Linked DNA regions of Yarrowia lipolytica. The protein of the gene in region 1 interacts with the protein of each later gene in a pairwise test. Links are inferred from orthologs where the notes say so. Each region holds a gene or a part of one and is shown on either strand. Other genes may lie near its edges. The genes, in order: YALI1_D13226g, YALI1_D05222g, YALI1_F28550g and YALI1_C09851g.

The links.
Region 2: the proteins of YALI1_D13226g (region 1) and YALI1_D05222g interact in binary tests that used the Saccharomyces cerevisiae proteins (3 or more experiments, as listed by UniProt). The link is inferred for Yarrowia lipolytica from reciprocal best matches to the Saccharomyces cerevisiae genes POL30 and UNG1.
Region 3: the proteins of YALI1_D13226g (region 1) and YALI1_F28550g interact in binary tests that used the Saccharomyces cerevisiae proteins (3 or more experiments, as listed by UniProt). The link is inferred for Yarrowia lipolytica from reciprocal best matches to the Saccharomyces cerevisiae genes POL30 and RLF2.
Region 4: the proteins of YALI1_D13226g (region 1) and YALI1_C09851g interact in a two-hybrid assay, tested with the Saccharomyces cerevisiae proteins (3 studies listed by BioGRID). The link is inferred for Yarrowia lipolytica from reciprocal best matches to the Saccharomyces cerevisiae genes POL30 and APN2.

Annotation. Positions count from the first base shown.
Region 1 is NC_090773.1:1,320,328-1,325,887, forward strand, and holds YALI1_D13226g (uncharacterized protein), read right to left. Parts: upstream 2,423-5,560; coding exon 2,381-2,422; intron 2,308-2,380; coding exon 1,555-2,307; downstream 1-1,554. Other genes in the region: YALI1_D13238g (uncharacterized protein), read left to right, coding at 3,563-4,720; YALI1_D13251g (uncharacterized protein), read left to right, coding at 4,865-5,560. UniProt on the Saccharomyces cerevisiae protein: This protein is an auxiliary protein of DNA polymerase delta and is involved in the control of eukaryotic DNA replication by increasing the polymerase's processibility during elongation of the leading strand. Involved in DNA repair.
Region 2 is NC_090773.1:519,019-524,607, reverse strand, and holds YALI1_D05222g (uncharacterized protein), read right to left. Parts: upstream 2,327-5,589; coding exon 1,244-2,326; downstream 1-1,243. Other genes in the region: YALI1_D05244g (uncharacterized protein), read right to left, coding at 1-182; YALI1_D05195g (uncharacterized protein), read left to right, coding at 5,054-5,589. UniProt on the Saccharomyces cerevisiae protein: Excises uracil residues from the DNA which can arise as a result of misincorporation of dUMP residues by DNA polymerase or due to deamination of cytosine. Not involved in strand-directed mismatch repair.
Region 3 is NC_090775.1:2,852,677-2,858,726, reverse strand, and holds YALI1_F28550g (uncharacterized protein), read right to left. Parts: upstream 3,630-6,050; coding exon 2,022-3,629; downstream 1-2,021. Other genes in the region: YALI1_F28590g (uncharacterized protein), read left to right, coding at 1-825; YALI1_F28537g (uncharacterized protein), read left to right, coding at 4,960-6,050.
Region 4 is NC_090772.1:981,856-988,036, reverse strand, and holds YALI1_C09851g (uncharacterized protein), read right to left. Parts: upstream 2,907-6,181; coding exon 1,158-2,906; downstream 1-1,157. Other genes in the region: YALI1_C09878g (uncharacterized protein), read left to right, coding at 215-1,090; YALI1_C09803t (uncharacterized protein), read right to left, coding at 3,820-6,181. UniProt on the Saccharomyces cerevisiae protein: DNA repair enzyme that cleaves apurinic/apyrimidinic (AP) sites and removes 3'-blocking groups present at single strand breaks of damaged DNA.

The DNA.
Region 1 (5,560 bases):
ATTTCCCTAAACTCTAGTTGACAAGGGTGTAGAGATCGGCATGTGGGGGAAGAGCCAACCGGCAAGTGAAGTAGAGTGTAACAAGAGACGAGCAAGTGGTGCCACAAGAACGTACTTGTAGTCTATGCGTTGGGTGACGGCGTCTGTGTAACAGAACACGTCATCGTCGTGGTCCGCAATGTGACTGCATTTTTTTTTCCTTCCACACTCGCACCGGGTCGTCTAAAAAGCCGCACCTGTGAGACCCGGTTAGTTGGTTCAGGCCTGAGAAAGTTCGCCTGGTAAAGATACGAGTGGTGATCAGTGGGGAAGACTTATGGACCCGTAGGTTTCCACATAATAACATTGAGGTGGAGGAACATAGACCGTGTGTACGTAGCAGCCAAAGGATGGGTGTGTGGAGGAGAAAATGACACGAAAAAGAAGACGAAGATGTCGGCAACCCTCCCAAGTACACGCTACGTGGCCTCCTCCACACAAAGCACGCTAACGCCATGGAACTAGACATGGCCATACGCTAACAACCCTATAGACTCATGCTCAAGGCCTATTGTGGACGCGTCTAGTTGGGCTCTTCTTTTACAATACCGCCCTATTAACTCACCAGTACGAGTAACATACTGCACGAGATTGGAGCTAGCCGGAGGCCCTGAAAACAACTCTAGAATAGAACGAAGAAATTGGTGGTGGCAGACGAGCCATCAGACATTGAACCCTACAAATATCGCCATGGTAAGATACTGCACGACCACCTACCAACACTTGTAATATGTATACAAGTAGCATCAAAACCCACATGTATCGTGCACCTGTGCCCAGGGTCATTAGTAGAGAACTAACGAGTGCTTGTACAACCCACAAAGACAACCACAGAAGAGGTGCAGAATCTCAGCAGCTCGGCGTGTCGTCCTATCAGGTTGGCACCATGCTGTCCGTACCAGAATAGCACTTGTACATGCTTGTTAAGTTAAAGACTCCCGAAGATGTCTCACAAGTGAGACTGTAGCGGATGGACTTGAGAAGGATATGGTTAGTAAGCAGAGGGAGATGTACCAGTCCTTGGTCACCTGCTTATCTACCAGTAAAACATTCTGTCACTCTGGAACGTGGTTGACACTGTTCCACAGCAGCTACAACGGTATCTTCATGTAGTATGATGTACACTGCGCTTTCCATCACGACCCATTTACAGCCACTTTCCACATAAACATATTGATCTGAAACTAGAATGGCGTTACATCAGAGGTCGGTTTGTCTACTGCACCAGTACATACTGTACTACTGTACTTGTACTTGTAGACTTATCAACTGTTTGGTCTTGTTACCAGTATACTGCCGTTCATCTACTTACTGTACAGTGTGCACATTACCATACTGTTCAAACCGGATCAGGTACTTCCAGTGCTACTACAATTCCTGTAGTAAAAGGAAGGCCATTCTCTCCAACTGTGCTCCCGATGTGCTCACTACAAATGTACTACTGTAGTCACTCGTGTTCTATAATCTTTCCTATAATTAATGCGCCTATACTAGCCTATTCTACTGTCGTGTCCATTAGTCATCATCCTCGTCCTCCTCGTCCTCGTCGCCAATCTTGGGAGCGAGGTAGAATCTCAGGTAGCCGTTGGGGAGCAGGTACTCGACCATGATGGGCACCTCGGAAGACATGCCCAGATGCACGTTCTGGGCCAGGCCCGACGCCTTGCAGAAGTTGTTGAGGTACTTGAGGTTGAGCTCCATGGACACAGGGGTCTCGACAGCGATGGTGGTAGATCCCTCGTCGTCGACCGAGGAAGAGGGCTTGATGAGCACGGATCCGTCTCCCACGTCGCCCTTGCAGCTGAACTTGACGCCCTCCTTGTCGCACGAAATCTTGACAGACTCGGACAGCATGAACATATCCCGCATGATTTTCTGGAACGCGTCCACGGGCATGGTGATGTCCGACTCGTACTTGGTGTCAGGGATTCCGAGATGCTCCTGGTCGATCGTCATGAGCTTGAGCACAAACTCAGACACTCGCTCGGACTTGGAGTCCTCAAAGGTGAGCCGCAGCTGGTCGCCGTTGTCGTCAGCCATAAGGGTCAGGGCGTCACGGTCGTTAGCGCATCGCAGAATCTTGACAAGCGAAGCCACCTTGATTCCGAGTGTGATGTTTCGGTCACATCGGTAGTCAGAGAAGCCGTCGGATCCGAGCTTCAGAGACACCAGGGCAATGTGTGAAGAGTCGACGGCCTGTACGTCGATTCCAGTCTCGGAACACTCAAAGTTGACATCAGTCACGGAGTCCTTAATGGCATCGATGATCTGGGTTAGTAAAGACAAGGAATAGGGGTATGCAAACACAAATTGATGTTCCGTTGCCGGTTGTCTTACTCACCTTCTTGAGAAGAGCAGCTTCGTTCAATTTGGCCTCAAGCATTGTTAGATGTGTGTGTGTGTTGGAAGAGTTACTGTGGTGGTGGTGTAGATGGAGGAAAAGAAAGAGGGACGTGTTTTAATCTAAAACGCGACAAATCACTATTCCCAATTGGGATTAACCACAACGCGTCGGTAGGGTAACACAGGTGTGCAGACAAGTATAAAGGGGGCGAGGGTGGCTGGTGGGCAGATTTAGAGACGGCTTTTGGACTTTCAATACTCCAATGACAAACGGATGGTGGTACAGTACATCTCCAGGGTCACGTGACACTTTGAACGGAGGTGTGTAGACCCTTTTCTCACACATTTATACGACTGCCTTCGGAACCGTTCTCCCTGGCAATACCAACGAGCTATTTAAAGTTTGGCGGTGTCAAACACGTCGATTGGAGGATTGGAGGATTGGAGGTGTACAGCATCAATGAAACAACGGAGATTGTACTGACCTTATACCGTGAATGTTACTCGGCTTAATACGATGGATCAGGCCAGATTACCGTGCAAATACAACTACTTATGTGCTGTACTTTTACCGTGCTTTTGTGTGATAAGTTGTTGATGATTACAATCTTGTCTTGAAGTTTTCCCAGTGCTTTATTCCTTCACACCGAGACTCGAACCGCGCACACTTTAAGGTACAAGTGACACTTTCAACGCTCAATGCTCCGAAATAGGCTCGCTGGGAGCTACTATATAGCTGTCTTTCTTCCAAATCATGTGAATTGACGTTGACCAGTGCAACATGGTATTTTGGAGGTGATCCGGTCGTTATAGAGATGGAATTGATATATAGGGGCCATTAATATGGACAATTGGTTGGTTTTAGCGAGAATTGAACTTGCAGCTGCTCTCTGCAGAGTCAGGAACTGCACTAGAGGCCGACTCGGATCTGAGCTGCAGCCTGTGCATTAGCAAACTCTATGATGACTGACTGATTGACCAAAACCCACCGTCGCACACCTTCTTTCTTCGACACTGTCATTCCATTCTCTTCGACAAAATGTTTGCCAACCGAGCCATGCGACTCCAGACCCGAATGTACTCCACCGGAGCCAAGACTCTCAAGATTGGTGAGTAGCACAATCAAGCGACACGGAAGGATCATACAAGCATTAGTGTGACTCATACCCTGGCATGGCCGATGCCACCCCAGATTTTGCTCGATTCGGCAACGGAAAAGTGGTTTTTTTTTTTCGTTCCAGAGCTTCAGCCATTCTTTACCTATACTAACCCAGGTCTTATCCCCGGAGACGGTATTGGCCGAGAGGTCATCCCCGCTGGCCGAAAGATTCTCGAGAACCTGCCGTCCAACAAGCTCAAGTTCGAGTTTGTTGACCTCAAGGCCGGCTTCGAGCTCTTCAAGCAGACCGGAACCGCTCTGCCCGACGAGACCGTCGACGAGCTGCGAAAGTGTGACGGTGCCCTCTTTGGTGCTGTCTCCTCTCCCACCACCAAGGTCGCAGGCTACTCCTCTCCCATTGTCGCTCTGCGAAAGAAGATGGGTCTGTACGCCAACGTGCGACCCGTCAAGGCCGTCCAGGCCACCGACAAGAAGGTCGATCTCGTCATTGTGCGAGAGAACACTGAGGATCTGTACATCAAGGAGGAGCGTGCCTACGAGCAGGACGGCCAGAAGGTGGCCGAGGCCATCAAGCGAATCACCGAGCGAGCCACCGACAAGATCGCCACCATCGCCACCAAGATCGCTCTGCAGCGAGAGCAGGTTCGAAAGCTCGAGGGCGGTAAGCTCTTCCACGAGAAGCCCATTCTGACCATCACCCACAAGTCTAACGTGCTGTCCACCTCCGACGGTCTCTTCCGAGAGGTTGCCCGAGCCTCCGCTGAGAAGGAGCTCAAGGCCGAGGGCGTCTCTGCTGATGCCATCATCATCAACGAGCAGATTGTTGATTCCATGGTTTACCGACTGTTCCGAGAGCCTCAGTTCTTCGACGTTGTGGTTGCCCCCAATCTGTACGGAGACATTCTGTCCGACGGAGCCGCTGCCCTCGTCGGCTCTCTGGGTGTTGTCCCCTCTGCCAACGTTGGCGACGACTTTGTCATTGGTGAGCCCTGCCACGGCTCTGCCCCCGACATCGAGGGTAAGGGTATTTCCAACCCCATTGCCACCATCCGATCCACCGCTCTGATGCTGGAGTTCCTTGGCTACCCTGAGGAGGCCGCCAAGATCTACAAGGCTGTCGACGCCAACCTGGTTGAGGGCAAGCTGCTTTCTCCCGATCTCGGAGGATCTGCCTCTACCGAGCAGGTCACTAACGATATTATCTCCAAGATGAACTAGATTTGTTAGTTATATATGATGAATGAACGATTATGTATATTGATTGACATTGTGTTGCTGTAAGATAACGTTATCTTGCATAACGAGGAGTGCGGAGTGACTTCTAGTCACGTGATCTAAGGCGATGGCTTGGATCGTTCACAAATGAGTAGTACTATTCTTTTTTCATCCCGCTTTACCCGCCGCCTTAGCCTCCTAACAATATCTCACACTCCGAACCAAGTAAGCCCAGTGCTTAAACCTAAACAGAGTCCGTTTTTTAGTCCAACAAAACACCATACCAAACTGCAAACAGTACACAGGCAGCAAGTCCAGCGACAGGCAATGTCCGGGACACCGCTTTCTGTCCACAGCTCTGCATCGACGCCCGAATCGCGCATGCTCACCATTAACGACACAGACACAGACAACTCGTCCCAGCCACTGTACATTGACTCCGGAGACGAAGAAACGCACAATGTGATTGATCTGGATGCCTCCGACGCCTCCGATTACGACAGCAACGACGACGACGGGCTCGATCTGTCGGCTCCTCCGCCAGATCAACACAGCAAGTTGCGCGAGGTCAAGTGTCCGATTTGCCTCGAGCCGCCAGATCGGCTTTGTGTCACGGAATGCGGCCATCTCTACTGCGGGGACTGCGTGTTCAAGGCTCTTTCTTCGGGGGTTCGGGCCTCTGATTCGGTGGGGGAGTGCAGTATTTGCCGCAAGTCTGTCGTCTACAAGAACGTTGTGTTTCTAGAGACCAGAATGGGCCCTCTACTCAAGGACGACGACGACGAGTACGAAACGGACGACTCCATCGAAGACGACCGCAATGTCAAGGTGCAAAAGATGCAC
Region 2 (5,589 bases), about 800 kb from region 1:
GCAAAGTCCTTGTTTCGTCCAACAATGACGACTCGAGCTCGTTTCTTGAGAAGCAGACGAGCGCATTCCATTCCCACTCCAGACAGTCCTCCCGTGACCACAAACGTCTTGTCTCTCTGATCAGCGTACTCGACTTCCTTGTACTGAGGTTTGGCAGCCCAAAAGTTTTTGATGTGTTCCATAATTGTAGTAGTTGTGGTTGTGGGTTTGTTGGTGGTAGGGATTGTTCGATGAGTGGATCACAACCACCAAGATACCCATCTTTTTATACTGCTTCTCTTCTCGTTATCTAGAATCAGGTGATGATCAGGTTCCATGTTAGGGGAGATTATGTTTAGGTTGATTCATCCTAGAACCGTATTATTGGAAAGTTATGACAACCAGAGTATAGAAAAAAAAGAAGTGTACAAGTACTGTACTGTACTAAGGCAGCTGATCTTCCCTGGAAGTATTCTATTAGTATATCACAAAAGCTTGAGTTCTCGTAGCGACTCCACTTCCTTGTCATTCTGTATTTCCACCTGATCATCTACATCTCCCCGCTTACCCCATATCATCAGATCAGTCGCACTGGGTTCTTTAGTTGAACCTTGAGCACAAGTTGAGATGGCAGTTGAAAGATTCTTGAGGTATTTGGAGGGTGGCTTGAGATACTGGGAGTTGTCCTTTGTTGCACTATTGTACGGTAGTACGGCATTCCCCTGTTGTAGTCTGAAGACATAAATGCCATAACTTCTCATTTTGGTATGGGTATAACTACCGGTACCACTGTAAGCTGTTAGTTGCCTAAGTGAAGCTCGTGTCTGGAAAACACCTCAAGCCTTCTTTTCAGACACACCGTTGAACCATCGCTTACAGCTACTTGAATCATGTGCCTCTGTCGTATCAATGCAGGGCTGACTTGCTTTTGGTTGTTGAGTTGAGTCAAACACGACAGAGCAAGACGTTTACACAGGGATAAAAACATATTCGAAACTTGTGCTTTGGAGTGGTTTATACAAGAAAACATTTGATATCCCTTTTCGTTGAACAGCATCGATCCGTGAGGTATTAAAACCCCGCATTTTGATAAATCCGTGTCTCAGAGGAGGAGTGTTTAAACCGTGTTTGGAGAGTGGAGTGATCAGCCTTGTGATCTTGGGAGTCATATTTCCAACCGGTGTAACGCAACCCACCCATGCCGATCCTTCAGCAAGTAGCTCAATACCATAATGTCGTGCGATACCTTCGTTATATACACTAATTACACCTTTTGCTTCTTGGGGGGAGGCAGGATATCGTCCAGTTCGTCATCATCCACATCAGGCACAGACAACAGGAGTTGGTCTAGCTTTTCTTGTGATGATGGTGGTGCTGTGGACTTCGCAGATGTCGGTTTGACTGACGACTGCTCAGTAGGTTCCTTAACTGTCTCAACGGACTCCTTGATAGACTCTTTAGCAAGCTCTTCCTTGACCGTGTCAGTGGTGGCCTCCTTAGTCCCCTTACTGCCAACTGTCTTACCCTCAAGACCCCACTTGATAATCCCCTCTGGACCGTACCGCTTCTCAAGCCACTCGTTGGCCTGCTTAAAGTGTCCACACGTGAGGAATCCTCGATGTGCCGACAATGGCGAGGGGTGGACGGCCTTGAGCACCAGGTGCTTGCTCTTGTCAATGTTCATCTTGTCTGCGATTTTGGCAGCAGGGCTTCCCCACGCCAAAATCACACAGCCAGAGTTGTGTTTGACAGCCGCTGACAGAGCTGTAAAGGTCACGGCCTCCCAACCCTTGTCTTTGTGCGCATTGGCCTTCTTTTCCTCAACCGTGAGCACCGTGTTGAGCATTAGAACACCCTGTTCGGCCCACGGGGTCAATAGACCCGACTTGGCAGGCACGTCAAAGTCTGGGTAGTCGTTCTTGAGACACTTGTACATGTTTTTGAGGGACGGCGGCGGCAGAGTGGGTGGGTTGACGGAGAAGGCCAGCCCATGAGCCTGATTCTTGCCGTGATAGGGATCTTGTCCTATGATGATCACCTTGACCTTGTCGAAAGGAGTAAGACTGGTCCATGAGTAAATGTCCTTTTTGGGCGGGAAAATGTTCACTCCGGCAGCTTCTCGGGAGGCCAGAAACTTTTTCAAATTGAGAAATTGCGGCTTGCTGATCTCCTTGTGGAGGTGTGGCAACCACGAGTCGTGAATATGGGTGATCTCCGTGTCCAGTAGCTCCTTATCGGCCGGTTTGAGGCCATTGAGCCAGGCCGACTGGTCGAATGAAGCGTTAGCAACTGTCTTGGTAGTCGTGGCCAGGATGGGCGCCTTTTGAAACGCGTCAGTGATTTTCATAGTGGTGTTCGAATGAACTGTGGTGAATGCAAGAAGACATGCGCATAATTAGTTTCGCGTTTGAGTTTGGTGGTGCATATATGACTACTTGTAGGATTCTGTACGATACAATGATTACAACTAGAGAATGAAGAATGCCGATTGATTTCATGAATCTGGAATATATATCATGTTCAGCTACTAAGGCATTACATGACTCTTGATCTATCGACATATTAGTAAACACTCCTCAACTGCTCAATACGATCATGTACTGGGCAAGTACTGCCGAATCCTGCATGAGAGCAGATGCACCAAATCCAAGGCACATCCAATATCCACACAGCGGAGTAATATCTGGATAATTTAGATGTTAATCATCAGTAATCTAACAAGATAATATGGTGTTAATGGTGCCATTTGAGGAGAAGCATTTTTGACTCCCTCTGACGCGATGTTTGTTCTCAACTTTCACTATCCCCGTGCTGGCCGTGCTGGGGATTACCTGATGACAAAGCTACACTGTCTCCACTTTAGAATCCACACACTGTAACGTTGATATCATCAGGCGGACTTTAATATTACAGTCTAAGAAACGCGTTTCTCGCTACACAGACACAATATATTGTTTGCTGTGGTTTTCTGGGGCAATTTCCAGTAATTTTTATGCTGATATTATTCCACTACGAACTACCCTATCTATACTGTACAGTAACTAACAATCTGTCATCTGCACCACCAAATAAACTCCACTGCACAATGATACCCCTACACTCAAGACTCAAAAGCCGAGACATACAACACCATTATTGCATCATTTTGCCGCTTTCAAACCCTGAGTGTGTGTATTGAGACACGTGTTCGGGACCAATCACAAGTACGGAATGAGATGATGCTAGACAGTGGCTATCACATGACCCAACGGGGTGAAAAACTCTAACGCGAAAAAGTTTGGGCGTCGTGTAGCGTGAATGTTTTGTTTTTTACGCTTTAGGTTACTGTAGCAACGGTACCCACAGGCGCCAAAAAATAGGGGTAACCGAAACGGCCATACAAAGAAGGCTGAGCTCTCGGGGCGTGCGTGGTACTGATGCTAGAAAGAGGTGGTTTAATGTGGCTATAAAACGGCATGATGAACATGAATATGACCCAAGTCTATGCTTGGTACTCGTGGTACTAATGAGAGAATTCTACCAGTAATATATGTAGTATTATTGAATGCAATCAGGTGTCTTTCAGGCACCATAGAAAATCGTACAGTACTTTTATTTCAAACTATGTCACAGTATGATATCTAACAACACTGTGCTGAACAAGAATCTGTATCGGGTAAAAGCACACTGGTAGATAGACCAGGAGTGTACAAGGAGAATACAGCCTAGATAGTGTATCGTACATACCTGGAAGAATATAGCCATTTTTCTTTGTGTCGGTGACATGCTGATCGTCACGTGAAAACGTATAATATCTGTCTTCCTTGTCACCAACCAGCTGAATTTCTACAGTCCCCTGTATGTCTCTGTATAGATATTATCGGGTTGGCCCCATGAGATGACCAAACTCTGTCGGGGTCTAAGTGAGACCATGAACAGGGATGGGATAAAAATATGTTAGCCTATGTGGTAGAAGTAACGACTTAACTCTTGTTCAATAAAACCTCTCTATCCAGTCATACTGATTACTTGCACTCTGTGTGCGTCTTCTCATTCCACATGTCATTCCCACCATTCTTCAGCCGTGTGAGTCTGTTCATTCTGCCACTGTGGTGTTGCCAAGCCAATAGTGACGTCTTAAGTTTGAGTACGAGGAGAGAGATTTAGTTATGAAAGAAAGATAATATATGGCTGTGGAGACGTGTGCAAATAAGACGTGAGAAATAGCCGGTACCTGAAGCTAGACTGAGACTGATATGGCACGTGTTCACGGAATAACACTTGTCTGTACTACTCGTGTACAGTACATCCACTCGCTGCCTCTGCGAGGCATCCGTTTCCGGGACTACGGTACCACGTAACACTGTTTGGCTGGCGCACTCTTGTCATGCGCGGCATCTTCATCTAAGTAACTGGGGCAAGTGCAAGAGTGCAGCAGGATTGCAAGATTGGACGTGTAAAAAAATATTATCTAACGGAAGCAGCACAAGTATGACTACGTACAGACGCGTGTAGCGTAAGAATCACCATCAGCCAAGCCATTCGACTAGCCAACTCCATCACCTGATCTGACAGGTCACATGTCCAATCTACCGTTACATTGCTGCTATAGCCATCCATACAGACCAACCGTCTATAGAATCTCTCCCCGACACTAACAAACAGCTCTACTCGGCCGAACACCCAGCTGTCAAAACAAGTGGGCTTTTAGCTCCAACACTAATTGCTTAAGACTGTAGCCCGGCCAACTCTATTTGCACGCTCCCACCATGTAATGTAGTCTCAGTTACACTCTCTCCCTTCTCTCTCCTCACCTATCTACAAGTCAGTACCCAGGTCACAAGCGACAAGGTACTATCCTCTTGACCCTTCCTTTCCACAAGAACACCCCCACATCTAGATATTCGCTTATCTGGATGCCCACAATCGTGCTACTCTGCTACGCCCCTTTTTAATCTGAGAGAAATCTCCGTCGTTACACCCACACTCAGCTGTACACGGCATCATATCACCCCCACACACCACCAAAAACAGCAAAAAAACATATAAACCGGACTCTTTCCGCTAAACTACTTCGAGCCTTCCCCAGAAACACATGTCCTCTGCTGGCCCCACCAAAAACACCGACCAGGACCTTGCTCTCAAGTTTGCCCGTCTCAAATGCGATTCCGACCCTGAGGCCTACATCTGGGAGTACCGAAACCTCCATCTGGCCCTCGGCCTGTCCGATGCTGCCAACACCTCGCCCAAGGGCGACCTGGTCATGGGCGCCATCTTTGTGTCCAACCTGCCCGAGCCTGTCCAGAAGCGAATGGACATGTCGCTCCTGGGCAACATGACCGATCTCATCTGGGAGGCCTTCCAGGCGTCCGAGACGGAGCGGGAGTGGCAGCGATTCAAGGAAATCCACCCCGACGCGGTCGAGGAGGACGATGACGAGTCCATGGCCGCCTCCGACGTGGAAGACATTGCCTCAACACGAACGTCTTCCCCTGTCCTGCCCTCCGTGCCCTCCACCCCCAAGGAGACGGTGGTTTCCACCCCGGAAATCCCCCAGGAGATCCCCATGGTTGGTACTCCCACCACCCCCAACATGAACATTCCCCAGGCCACGTCGCGAAACGTGTCATC
Region 3 (6,050 bases), on another chromosome or scaffold:
GTCTTCTTCATGTTTGCTGTGGAGCTGGTCTGCTTCAACATGTTTGGACACCAGGGCCACAGCCACGGACCCGTAGGACTGGCTTCCTCTAAGGACGTGGAGATTTCAGGTGTTCACGAGCATACCCACGAGGGTCACTCTCACGACGACCACTCTTCCGATGATATCGTCAAGGAGAACGAAAAGCCCAGAGAGCACTCTTCCGTTCCTGTCTCTATGCCCAATCCCATTGCTAACCATGACCCCCTGACACCCAAAGACCACTACGGACACTGCGAAGAGCATACTGACCCCAACGACGTTGATTTGGAGAACGACATGGGTTTGGAGACCTACTCTGCCCAGCTCGTTTCCATTTTTGTGCTCGAATTTGGTATCATTTTCCACTCTGTCTTCATTGGTCTGACTCTTGCTGTCTCCGGAGACGAGTTCAAGGACCTGTACATTGTGCTTGTCTTCCACCAGATGTTTGAGGGTTTCGGTCTGGGAACTCGACTGGCCACTGCCCCTTGGCCCAAGAAAAAGGTGTGGACTCCTTGGATCCTTGGTCTGGCATTTGGCCTCACCACCCCCATTGCGATTGCCATTGGTCTCGGTGTGCGAAAGACCTACCCTCCTGGAGGAAAGACAGCCTCTATCACCAACGGTATCTTTGACTCCGTGTCTTCCGGTATCCTGCTGTATACCGGTCTCGTTGAGCTCATGGCCCACGAGTTTTTGTTCTCGTCCGAGTTCAAGCACGCCAACAACTGGCGAATCTTCTGGGCCTTTGCCTGGATGTGTGCCGGAGCCGGACTCATGGCCCTGCTGGCGAAGTGGGCTTAATCAAGGGGAGGAGTATCGTTGATGATGTGTCGTGTAAACGACATTATTTATTGTCGAAAGACGTCCAAAAGTAATTGATTAATTGTTGTATTGAGTAAGAGTAGCTATTGTTGTGGAGATCGTAATCCGCAGGAAGGCACAAGTAGACTCAGCAGTCCGCGACTTCAGACAACTACAAATAGTTTTGACAAACGAAGGACTTCATCAATCGAGAACATCAGCACATGTTACGGAGGTGAAAAGTATGAGTCTTCACTCGACGACTTCTTTGGTATTCTCAGACTAACCCATCAGATAATGATCACATATCTAAATACCCACTGAACTTCGTGACTGCCGACTCGCGAGGAAATCGTCCCAATAATCCACTCCTCTTTTTGTTAAAGTTCCCGTTTATCACAGTACGTTCCTAAGGGAATATCCCATCTGAAGCGCTACATCGAAACATTTCGCTCATACGCTAAGGAGGCTTAAATCAGCTACAGTATGTACTGCTGTAAACTGAAGCCTTCATTTCACAACTACAGTCTTATTACTCCAAAGGTCTAAGTCGCTCACCTCCATTTAATAGAACAACCGTGCACAGTATATATCACCACCTCTACCACTCACTACCAATTAAATGTCCCCCACCCCGTTTCTTTTTCCACGATGAGCAATTTTCAAATCTTGATTACACTTTGCGCCTTTGCTTATTCCGGCCAAACCATACTTGTGTCGATCTGCCAATCGGGTATCTCTGTCTTCTTTGATTTGCCCGATGTACAGTAAGAGTTTGTAGACCAGAGCCTGTCGAAAGAGCGATCGAAACTGGGTTCACGGTCCATTTTGCACTGAGCCTAAATACTGTACAAGGATGTCAACCCCAAATACCTGGTATAAGTACGACATTGAAATGGAGGTGCAATGCAGCTACACATAGAAAAGGATGAGGATGAGGATGGATCGGCTATACGTTACCCGAGAGGCGAGAGGTGGGATCGAGTCACGTGACCGTATTTCAGTGTACTGTACCAATTTTACTTCTGACGTCCCTTTAAGTGCGGCGGTGGAATCAAGCACAAAAGTACTACTTTACGAGTATAGGCCTCGGCCATCGTTCTCACACAGTTGTTTCATTATTGAATCATCAGTTCATCGTTAATTCATTATCTACTGCGTCATGTGTACTCCAGCAGAACTCATCATTCCCCGGCCTAGATATCCTTCAGAACCCACCGCTTGTCGCTCTTAGGACCCTGTCGCTCAGCATAGTGCTGAATGGTGGCCGTGACCATCTTGCGTGTGTACTGGGGATACTGCTTACAAAGCAGCTCGGTCAACAGCGTCTTGTTATCGTCGGATCCATCTACTCGCTTCAAAAGAGCAGTCAGATCGTCTCCAGCAATGAGCTTCTGAGGCTTGGCAGCAGCCAGAAACTGTTTCGTGGCTGAAGCAACCGCTGGGGAAGGTGACAGAGTTTTGGAGAGGACTGCAAACGGGCTGAGTTCGGTTTTGGTTGTAGTAGATTTAATAGCTGTACCAGAAGCTGATGTCGCACTAGTCATTGTCACGTCACTCTTAGTATCGGTCTTCTGCTCAACTTTTGCAACAGTCCAATAGTCTTTGAATGGGTCAATTGCCCCCTGGACAATCAGTCCTCCAAAAGTCATACCAACCATATCTGAGCAGCCCCAGACAACAACAGGTTCCTGGGCTGTCGTGACCTTTGAAGTCATGGTGCTGGGACTCTTGGCATCATCAGAACACACAAAGTCGGCCATTTCGTCGTCCTCCATCTCCTCGTCTCCACTAATTTCATCATCTTCAATATCTTCTCCTTCATCTTCCCAGTCGGCCTCACTGTCGTACTCGTAGTCCAAACCAGGCACCTGGAAGAGAGGGTTCTGCAACAGATCACGCGAGCAGCTCTTGGAGTACGTGCCCAGGTATGCGGGTCGCTCGTCACCATAGAACTGCAAGTATCGTCTAGGAAGAGCATTGACCAGCGTGTCTAAAGGAGTACCGTTGTAATTATCAGGATTGAGACCCAGAGTGGCAGCGGTCTGGATGTGAGTAATGATGGTTTTGACGGGAACAGGTGGTTCTTCTGCTTCGGCGGTGTTGCTGTCATCAGAAAGGTTGAGACTGTTGAGCCAGTCAACAGGATCCTGATCCATCACTTCACACTCCGTCTTGTCTGCCATACACACGGTATCTTTGATGTGGAAGGGTAGGAAGTCTTTATCAAAGTCCAAACACTTGTCACTGTTAACAGCTTCCTTCTTGGTCTTCTTTTTGGTCTTCTTGTTAAAGAAAGACATGATTCGAGTCTGTTCTTGCTCCTTCTTCTTGAGTTCAGCTTCTTTTTCAAGTCTCTTGGCCTCCTTCTCTTCAGCCAACTTAGCCTTCTCCTCTGCAATCTTGGCTCGCTCAAGCTCCTTCTCTTCGGCAGCCTTCTTTCGTTCCTCTTCTCGTCGTCGTTTCTCCTCCTCTTTCCCTTTCTTCCTCCTCTTTAGCCCCCTCTTCTCCTCCTCCTTCTGTTTCCTCAGTTGTTCCTTCTCCTCCTCTTTCTGCTTTCTCAGTAGCTCTTTCTCTTCTTCCTTCTGTCTTCGAAGCTGCTCTCGCTCTTCCTCTTTCTGCTTCTTGATCTGTTCCTTTTCAAGTCGCATCTTTTCTTTCTCCTCGGCAGAGATCTTTCGACGCTTGGGTGACGGTTCGGGCGTGGTAATCGTGCACAGAGGCTTGTTGTCGGCCATTACAGGCTTGTCACATCCTGCATTCTGCTCACTTGCGCTCATGAGTCGAATTGGAGAGCTGTCCATGGTGTTGTGGAGGAAAGAAGGAGGTTACAAGGCCCAGCCTTCACGACGCGTACCCAAGAGCTTAATTGAAATGATTTGGGAGACGCGTCCAGAAGTGGTAATTAGTTGAACGCGGAAGTCGTGAGCGTGTCACGTTACCAAATATAATTCAATTGCAACTAATAGGTCACGAGATATTTTTCGTCACGTGTCTGTTCAACTATCTCTAATCTCTCACTGACTCTGTGCATCTCTCTTATTCATAGTGTACATGCTGTGCGAGTCGCTAAAAATACTTGTCATAACCTGAACCTATTAATAGTCCCAACTCCGACGCCAACCTGACCTCCACAATTACACACCACAAACAGAACCCACTGTTTCTCGCTATAAACAGTCGATCAGGTCTACGAAGGTGGTGGAAAGAAACGTCTGGTGGCGAGACTGCGATCCAAACACCCACCGAAACAGTCCAGGCCCTGGAAATGCAAGGTCCACATTTTCACGGGAGTATGCTGATTCCAACATTTGACTGAATTGTCAGATCATGTAAATAATTGTGGTTGTTGGTTGCTGGGAGCCGCAACCTACAAGGTGAGTACAAGTACTTTCATTAGGATGCTTGTTTTAAATACAGTAGCTAGCCTACGTCTTCTGTTGTGACTCGAATAGCCTGTTTTGACAATCTGGCGAGTCGCCACTGAAAACCTCAACACAGCACCTACGGAAATAATCGCAGTTTACGGTAAGCAACGTAATGAGATTGTAGTACATTATTTATATAGATCGAAAGCTACAGGCACCCTTATTTTTAATGCTGTTATTCTTCTCTCTGTAAGTCCCCTCCTCGTCTTAGCAGCGACACTGAAATCGATTTCTTCCATCAGTATTCCAGACCTTTGCAACCTAATTATGCATCACCAGGAGTGTTCAAAAGACAGATAAGAAATCATTCTCGACCGCCACGAGCCCATCAAGCATAAGTTAGCCACACGATCGTAGAATCCTATCACGTGATCAGTCCTCCACTCATTATAAATATTACTAATCTTCGTCTTGCCACCTCACGGGTTTCTCCCTTACCCTATTCCCCGCATCGAGGAAGATGTCGGTTATTGACGCTCTAACAACTCTCCAGAAACCCACAGACGGAAATCCTGACTACGAAAACTGTCCACGTGATCACTCATGGCACGTGATCACTCATGGTACATGGTATCAATCCATATTTGTTTTCCTGTAATGTGACCACCGCCTCGTCGCTACCTTCCCCCAACTATTATAAATCATTTAGAGTTGTTCACTCTTTTATCTAAAATCGAGACTTGCATCGACACTCTCTTCCACCACCATGTTACGTCTAAAGTCGCTCAAAAAACCGGTCCAGGCCGTGGTTCGACGTTTCGCCACCACCTCCGCACCCACTCTCTCTGTCGGCGACAATATCCATGGCTTCAATGTTCTCAGAACCAAAGAGATCCCCGAGTTTGATCTGCAGGCTACCCTGCTAGAGCACTCCACTGGAGCCCAGCATCTGCACATTGCTCGAGATGACTCCAACAACGTCTTTTCCATCGGCTTCAAGACTAATCCTCCCGATCGAACCGGAGTTCCCCATATTCTGGAGCATACAACGTTGTGTGGATCGGAAAAGTACCAAGTCCGAGATCCCTTCTTCAAGATGCTTAACCGATCTCTTGCCAACTTCATGAACGCGATGACCGCCCAGGACTACACCTTTTACCCCTTTGCTACCACCAACGCTACCGACATGAAGAATCTGCGAGATGTGTACCTCGATGCTACCCTGAAGCCTCTGCTTCGAGAGCTGGACTTTTCTCAGGAAGGCTGGAGACTGGAAAACGAGGACTCCAAGGACAAGACCAGTCCCATCATCCTCAAGGGTGTCGTTTTCAACGAGATGAAAGGTCAAATGTCCAATGCTGCTTACGCTTTCTACATTCGGTACCTGGAGAAGATCTACCCCAGTTTGAACAACTCTGGAGGAGACCCTCTTGTTATTCCCGAACTCACCTACGAGGGTCTCAAGAAGTTTCATGCTGATCACTACAACCCCAGCAACGCCAAGACGTTTTCTTATGGAGATATCTCTGTTGCTGACCATTTGGAGGCTCTGAACGCCAAATTTGAGAATTGTGAGATCTCCAAAACTCCCGGAAACACCGAGAGATTGCCTCTCGAATTTTCTTCTGCCGCTGAGAACACCCGTATCGTTGAAGAGGGTCCTATTGACACTCTTCTGGATACGTCTAAGCAGCACAAGATGTCCATGTCGTGGTTGATGGGTTCTCCCAAGGACATTTACGAGTCTTTCTGCGTCAAGATCATCTCTTCTCTACTCATTGACGGTCATTCTTCCCCCCTTCATCAGAAGCTGATTGATTCCGGTCTTGGATCTTCCTACTCTCCCAACACTGGCCT
Region 4 (6,181 bases), on another chromosome or scaffold:
GGCTAGTTTACCCCGATATTATTCATGCACGCCGTGCATATGGTTCTGGAACAAAGACACCTTAAGCGACATTGGCTCTTGCCTCATCACAATTGCCTAAACTAGAGATCTAGTATTTCCAGACCAACACATATCGACAAATATATATAAACAACATGCAACTCTCTTGGCTGGCTATTATCAGCTATACCAAGCCACACATAACATCCTCAAAATGGAAAACACGATACTACACATTCATTCCTTTCAACTACCCCAAACAGAACAGCCCTACCCCGAGGCTATGTTATTCGACAGGGACACTAGCGATTCACGTACGGTTCTAACTCAGAAGCCAAATGGACTGGAAATATCACTCAACTTTTTGCAATATGACGGTCACAAGGGGCTGTTCATCAGGCAAGACAGTCGAACGAATGAGCCTGAGTACATTGAACCCAAAGTTCTGAAACCTAGGAACAGCTACATCTTGTTCCGAAATGCAACATCCAGATGCTCTCAGAGCATTGATCCCAACTCAGCATTTGTTTCGAGGGTCTCCAGTTATATCTGGGGCTCGGGAATCCCCAATCCTATTGTTCGGCGATGGTTCAAGTATATGGGTTTCTTCGAAGCCCTATACCACGAAGTCGACTATCCTGAGTATATCCCGAACAAACTGCCCAAGTCCCCAAAGAAGCCGAAGGTCCAGAAGGGTGCAACTAAGTCTAAGAAAAAGGGAGCAAAGGGTAAGAACAAGGTTACTGCTCTCCAAGTACTGGTCGGCCCTACCGTTGGTGTCGGGGGAAGGATGACTGTTAGCCCAATGACTGCTTTCTTTAGCAACAACTCTCACGTTACGTGCTATGACCCCAACTTTGTTCTCGATACACCTACTCGAGAATTCCTCATGATGCCCCTGGATGATATCACTCTCCCATCGCAAGGACCAAGATCAGATTCACAGGAGCAGCACGTCCCTCGGCAGCCTCCCGATGGGCAGGACTATTTTGACATTCTGGATATTGATGATTTCGTTTCTCCTTATGATGACTTGACTACTCGCTCGTTCACCAACAGGCAGCTTTTTAAGCATGCCACACTGGGTTGAGCTTGGTAATTTTCTGTACTCACTGTACGTTTATCATTGGACACACTAACGGTATTATAATTTAATTTTATTTCCACTGAAAGAAGTTACATCTGGCACTGGTGTCGTCCTGGGAGCCCTTGGCGTCGGGGTCTGCCGATGCCTTGTAGGAGTCGCCGACGAGCTGCAGCGAGTGGTTCTGGCCACAAACCCAAAAGTGCTTGCCCTGGTTGGGTCCCTTTTTGCGGGTGGTTCTTAGCACCGCCGGGAGGTTGTGGGCACAGACGGGGGCAGGTTTTTTTGTCATGATCTTGGACCACTGCGACGCGACCTTTTCGGCCTCCTCCACGCGCTCCGCAATGTCTAGGTACTCGGTGGGCTCTGGCAAGTCCAGTCTGGTGGCCATTTGCGGTCTCGTATCTTCACCCTCTCGAGTCGCATGCGCACCTGCATCGCAACCTTGATAGGTCCTTTCAATATTTGGGGACGCGGCGGGTGATTGTGATTGTCCCAACGGCTTTGTGTGCACATCCGAGACGCATGTTGATACGACGGCAGCTTCTGGATCTGGCTTTTGGAAGAAGGAGGAGATGGCCGCCTGTTTTTTGGCAGTCGATTTGGAGGGCGCTTTGGGTTTGGTAATGCCCTTGGTCGGCGGCGTTTGTGCCCGGAACATGGACATGACCGAGGTGGTCTGCACAAACTGCTTGTTAGTTCTGTGGAACAGTTTTGGCCGAAACGAGTTTGGGGCTGAGGACGACGCTTGTTTGGTCTGGTTAGCTGCACCTTGAGTGGCACGGTTGTCTTTTTCTTGGCACGCGTCTGGTTCGCGCACCTCTGCATAAACGGGACAATGGTCTGAGCCCTCCAGGTGGGGCAGAATATCGGCATCCTCCACCTTCAGACCTTTTGAGGCCAGCACGTAGTCGATACGAGACCCAAAGTTTCCGGGCCGGTAGTTCATCATCACGTTCCAGCAAGTATACATGTCGGGTCGATTGGGATGCTTGTCGCGGCACGAGTCCTGTAACAGGTCGGGGACCAGTCTGTGGAAGACTCGTCGGCCAACTTTGGCTTCCCTCCAGCTCTTACACTGTCCCGGGTTGAGCTTTTCAAACACCTCCACAAACCTGCCCTCCTCCTTATCTCCCAGTGTCGGTAGAGTGATGTGTTTGGCCTTGTGCAGCGCTTGCATTCCCTCAGCTGAGTCGTACAGCTCGCGTGCCACATTGAGATCTCCCATGACCACCACCTCTCGTCCAGCCTCAACCAGAAGGTTGACCCGTTCCTCCAGCAACCCAAAATAGTCGTCTCTGTAGGCATCTCGCTCCTCGCCCTCGGTGGCGGTGCTAGGACAGTAGAGCCCAAACACGACACAGAACCCCAGGTCCAACACAAGAGACCGGCCCTCCGAATCGACCTGAAAGAGCCGCTGTGGATTGCCCTCGGGATAGGCGCCGATACAACTCTTGCTGCTGCCGTCTCTCTCCCTTTGCCGCTCGTACAGCTGCTGGTAGGTGAGTCCCTTTTTGGAGTCCGGAGATACCAGCTGACCGGTAAGACCCTCCTCGGCCTTGAGAACTTTGATGCCATGTTTCACATAGACCGCCACGCCGCTGTAGCCCTTTTTTGTGTTGGAAAAAGACCAGTACGAATCGTATCCGGGCACAAGGGCGTGTTCTCGCTTCAGCAAATGGGGCTGGAGCTTGGTTTCTTGTAAACAGATCACGTCCGCCTTCAGCACCGCAAACATGTGCTCAAACGACCTTTGCTCGTTCCATGGATGGTAGCTCAGCACGTTGTTGATGCCACAGATGTTGAACGTGACGAATCTCATGTGGCGACCGGTCCTGCATGTGGACTCTAGCTACTGTAGGGTGCTATCGCTAGATCACGGAGGTGAGTTTGGAGTTTCTGCAGAGTTTATTTGAGCGGCTAAAATACAGTATGTTCTATTGTATGCACAGCACATACAAGTAGATACTATTACTTGTAGATATCACCAATATACGCACCACAGGTGATATAACTGCTCCCGTGCACGTGTAACAATGGGGACATTTGGGGCATGAAAATGCTCCATCAGCCGTATCACTCTTTTGTAGGGACGATTGACTGGTCAAATTGGGCTGATTTCATGATCCCCGCAAGTATCTTTCGTTTCAGGAACATTTTATCGAGAGTGAAAATGTGTATACGTTTGTTTTATGATGAATAAACTGGTCAGTCTGGTTTCAGGGTCTGTTGTATTTTTGGGTCTTTTTCATGGGTCATATATATAGAGTGATACCATTGTTACAGTAATTAGGGCTGTTCTAAGTATCACTGTTTTTTTTTTTTTTTTCTGCATATACATTCATTTAATTATAACTTTGCCGTGAAAGAATAACCTTTGAAATGAATGTACGCTTACACGAATATTACTAATTAAACACGTTTAGTGTCATGGTCCAACTTGGCACGTACCTATTTCCAGTAAAAAAATCATAAAAAAACCTGGTTCAGTCCGTGTTGTATGTTGGTCCACATAGCTTCGCGTGTTTGTTCGTTCATCGGGAAAACGCCACTCCAGTCTCCAGTTCTCTAATCTCAATCCTTCCATTGCCCTCTTCATTTGCATTGCCTTTGAAAACTTCTCCTTGTGGTTCTTCTTCGTCATTGGTTTGGTTCTGCGTCCCCTGTGGTGACTACGCGCCCTGCTACGCTGTTCTCTCGGTGGCCTCGGCCGCCTTTTACGCTTGCTACTGTGTCTACTCTCGCTCATCGTGAAGTGCTGGCGGTTGTCCATCGTAGAAACACATCTGGGCTTCCTTCAGGAATTGAAGCAAACCCTGTTGGACATGTCCCAGGGTGGCGTCGTCCCCTGAGTACCGGAGGGATCTCTCCATCTTCCAGATCCCATAAGCCAATTCCCGCAGATATTTGCGTGTCTTGACTTGTTGATGTTTCCGGGGGGCGTCACTGTTCACATGCCCTGGGAAAGAGGGGAGTACTCCACATTTCGACTCGGTAAAGATCCAGTCCTTTAGAGAGTCCACTGACGGAATCTTCATCCTGGTCAACATGGAAAGAAGAACTTCGCACTTGCAGAAGATATGCTCGTGCAGATCCTGAATGATGGCCTTATCACAGAGCCCGCATCCTGGATTCTTCTTGGTGAAAACGTGGTCGTCAGGGTATCTCCATTTCACGAGCGGAAGTCGAGATATCCGCATGAGGTGAAGAACTTGTGCTTTGTTGGCGTCGGCGATGTAGTGTTTTCGAAGGTCATGCATTACCTCCTGCCAGACCATGTCGTCAGAGATGCCCCCGTAGTCGCTTCGTTGAGTCCACTTCTTCGGTCGTGCAAGTGTGTGTGGGAAGTTTGGCAAGTCGGGAGACGAGGTCTTGTGAAACATGAAGTTCTCTAGAGTAAGTGGTCCCATGCTCCACCGGAGGTGGTCGATTTCCGCTGTGGACACCATTCTGACCGGATGGTATCGTCTCGCGGCTGCGATGTCGACGTGTGCTTCCCGGAAAGATTCTGCTGCTCTCACGTTCACCTGGTTTCGTTCCCAGATTCTGTGATTAACTGTGTCTGTTGTAGAGGGCTCGTGATCTTCTCGAGGGTTGGCATGTTCCGCGGTGAGGGGCTTGTTGAGCTCGAAAGAAGCTCTGATTGCGTCTCGCATGGTGGGGGAGGCTGCGTAGCCCCAAGCTTGGCCTGTCGGAAAGCGGCAGTCGACGCGCTGGTGTGGCTTTTCCTGTGTGAGACTGTGAGTTCTGCTGTAGAACTGGAAGGTGCAGTCCCAAAGGGCCGGCGATGAGCCATGGAAGAACCTGTAAGCCCGAGCGGCCTTCAGGCACACCATGAAACGTCCCATGTCCCGCAGGTTCAGTCCTCCTCTGCCTACCGGAGTTTGGATGAAACCATTGCTGAAGGTTTTGCGTGTTTTGTCGGGTGATAATTTGTTGATCTTGTCGCACGCTAGTTCGTTCAGCTCTCGGATGAAGGTGTTGTCGATCTGGCTGACGTAGGGTCCAAGGAAATTCAGTTTCGAGAAGAAGTAGATGTTGATCATCCACGCCTTGCTGTAATAGGGGAGACCCCATAGTGAAAGGCGTCGCAGCGACTCCTTGAGGTCCTCCTTGATCTGAGCGTAGTGCGTGTCCAACCTTTCGCGATTTCCGAAGTGTACTCCGAGGTACCGGAAAATGTTGTCAGATGTCCGGAGCGTCGGGGCCTGTCGTGTGTTGTTGTCGGTTGGCCAGGTGGCGTCAATTGTTCGCTGCCATTCTGCGTCAATAAAGGTTAGTGGAACAAAACAATCGGGGGGGCCGATCTTCTGAAGCACCGTCTTTGACGGGTTTAGTGTGAGGCCTGAGACCCGTTGGAAGAGGCAGAGCACTCTACCAACCGTGGCCACGTCCTGGATGTTGTTGAGGAACACCGCTATGTCGTCCGCGAAAGCCGACACCTTCATGTGTCCAGCTGCCACTGCCTCCGGGTGAGTAGGGGGTTGTGGCGGCCTGTGCCCAGTGGTGTGGTGGTGGGATAGTGGCAGGCCTGGGGCCAGTCCAAACATCTCTCGGTCCAGACGACGCACAAGTGCGTCTACTGCGATGATGAAGAGGGTTGGAGAGAGAGGGCATCCTTGTCTCACTCCGATCTTGATGCGGACTGGGCGAGATAGGACACCTCTGATGTTGATTCTCGTTACTGCGTTCTGTTGTACAGCTAGGATACGGTTGATCATCAGTTCCGAGACACCCACATTTCGAAGCGTCTTTATCACCCAACTCTGGCTGATAGTGTCGTAGGCTTTCCGGAAGTCCAGTGATCCTACGACCCAACCCATGTTCAGCTGGGAGTAGGCGTTGCAAAAATGATCCATGGTGTCGAGATTGTTAGTGATGTGTCGACCCGGTACGAAACCGTTTTGGGCGCCGTGAATGCTGTCCGGAAGAATGTTCTGGATGGCTTTGTTAATGAGCTGTGTGTAGATCTTCACCTCTGTGTTGATCAAAGAAATAGGCCTGTAGTTGGAGATGTCGGCCTGATCTCCCGACTTGTACAGTAGTTTGATGATAGCGGTGTTGCGTTCGGTGCTGATGGGCGAGTCGGCTCCAGCT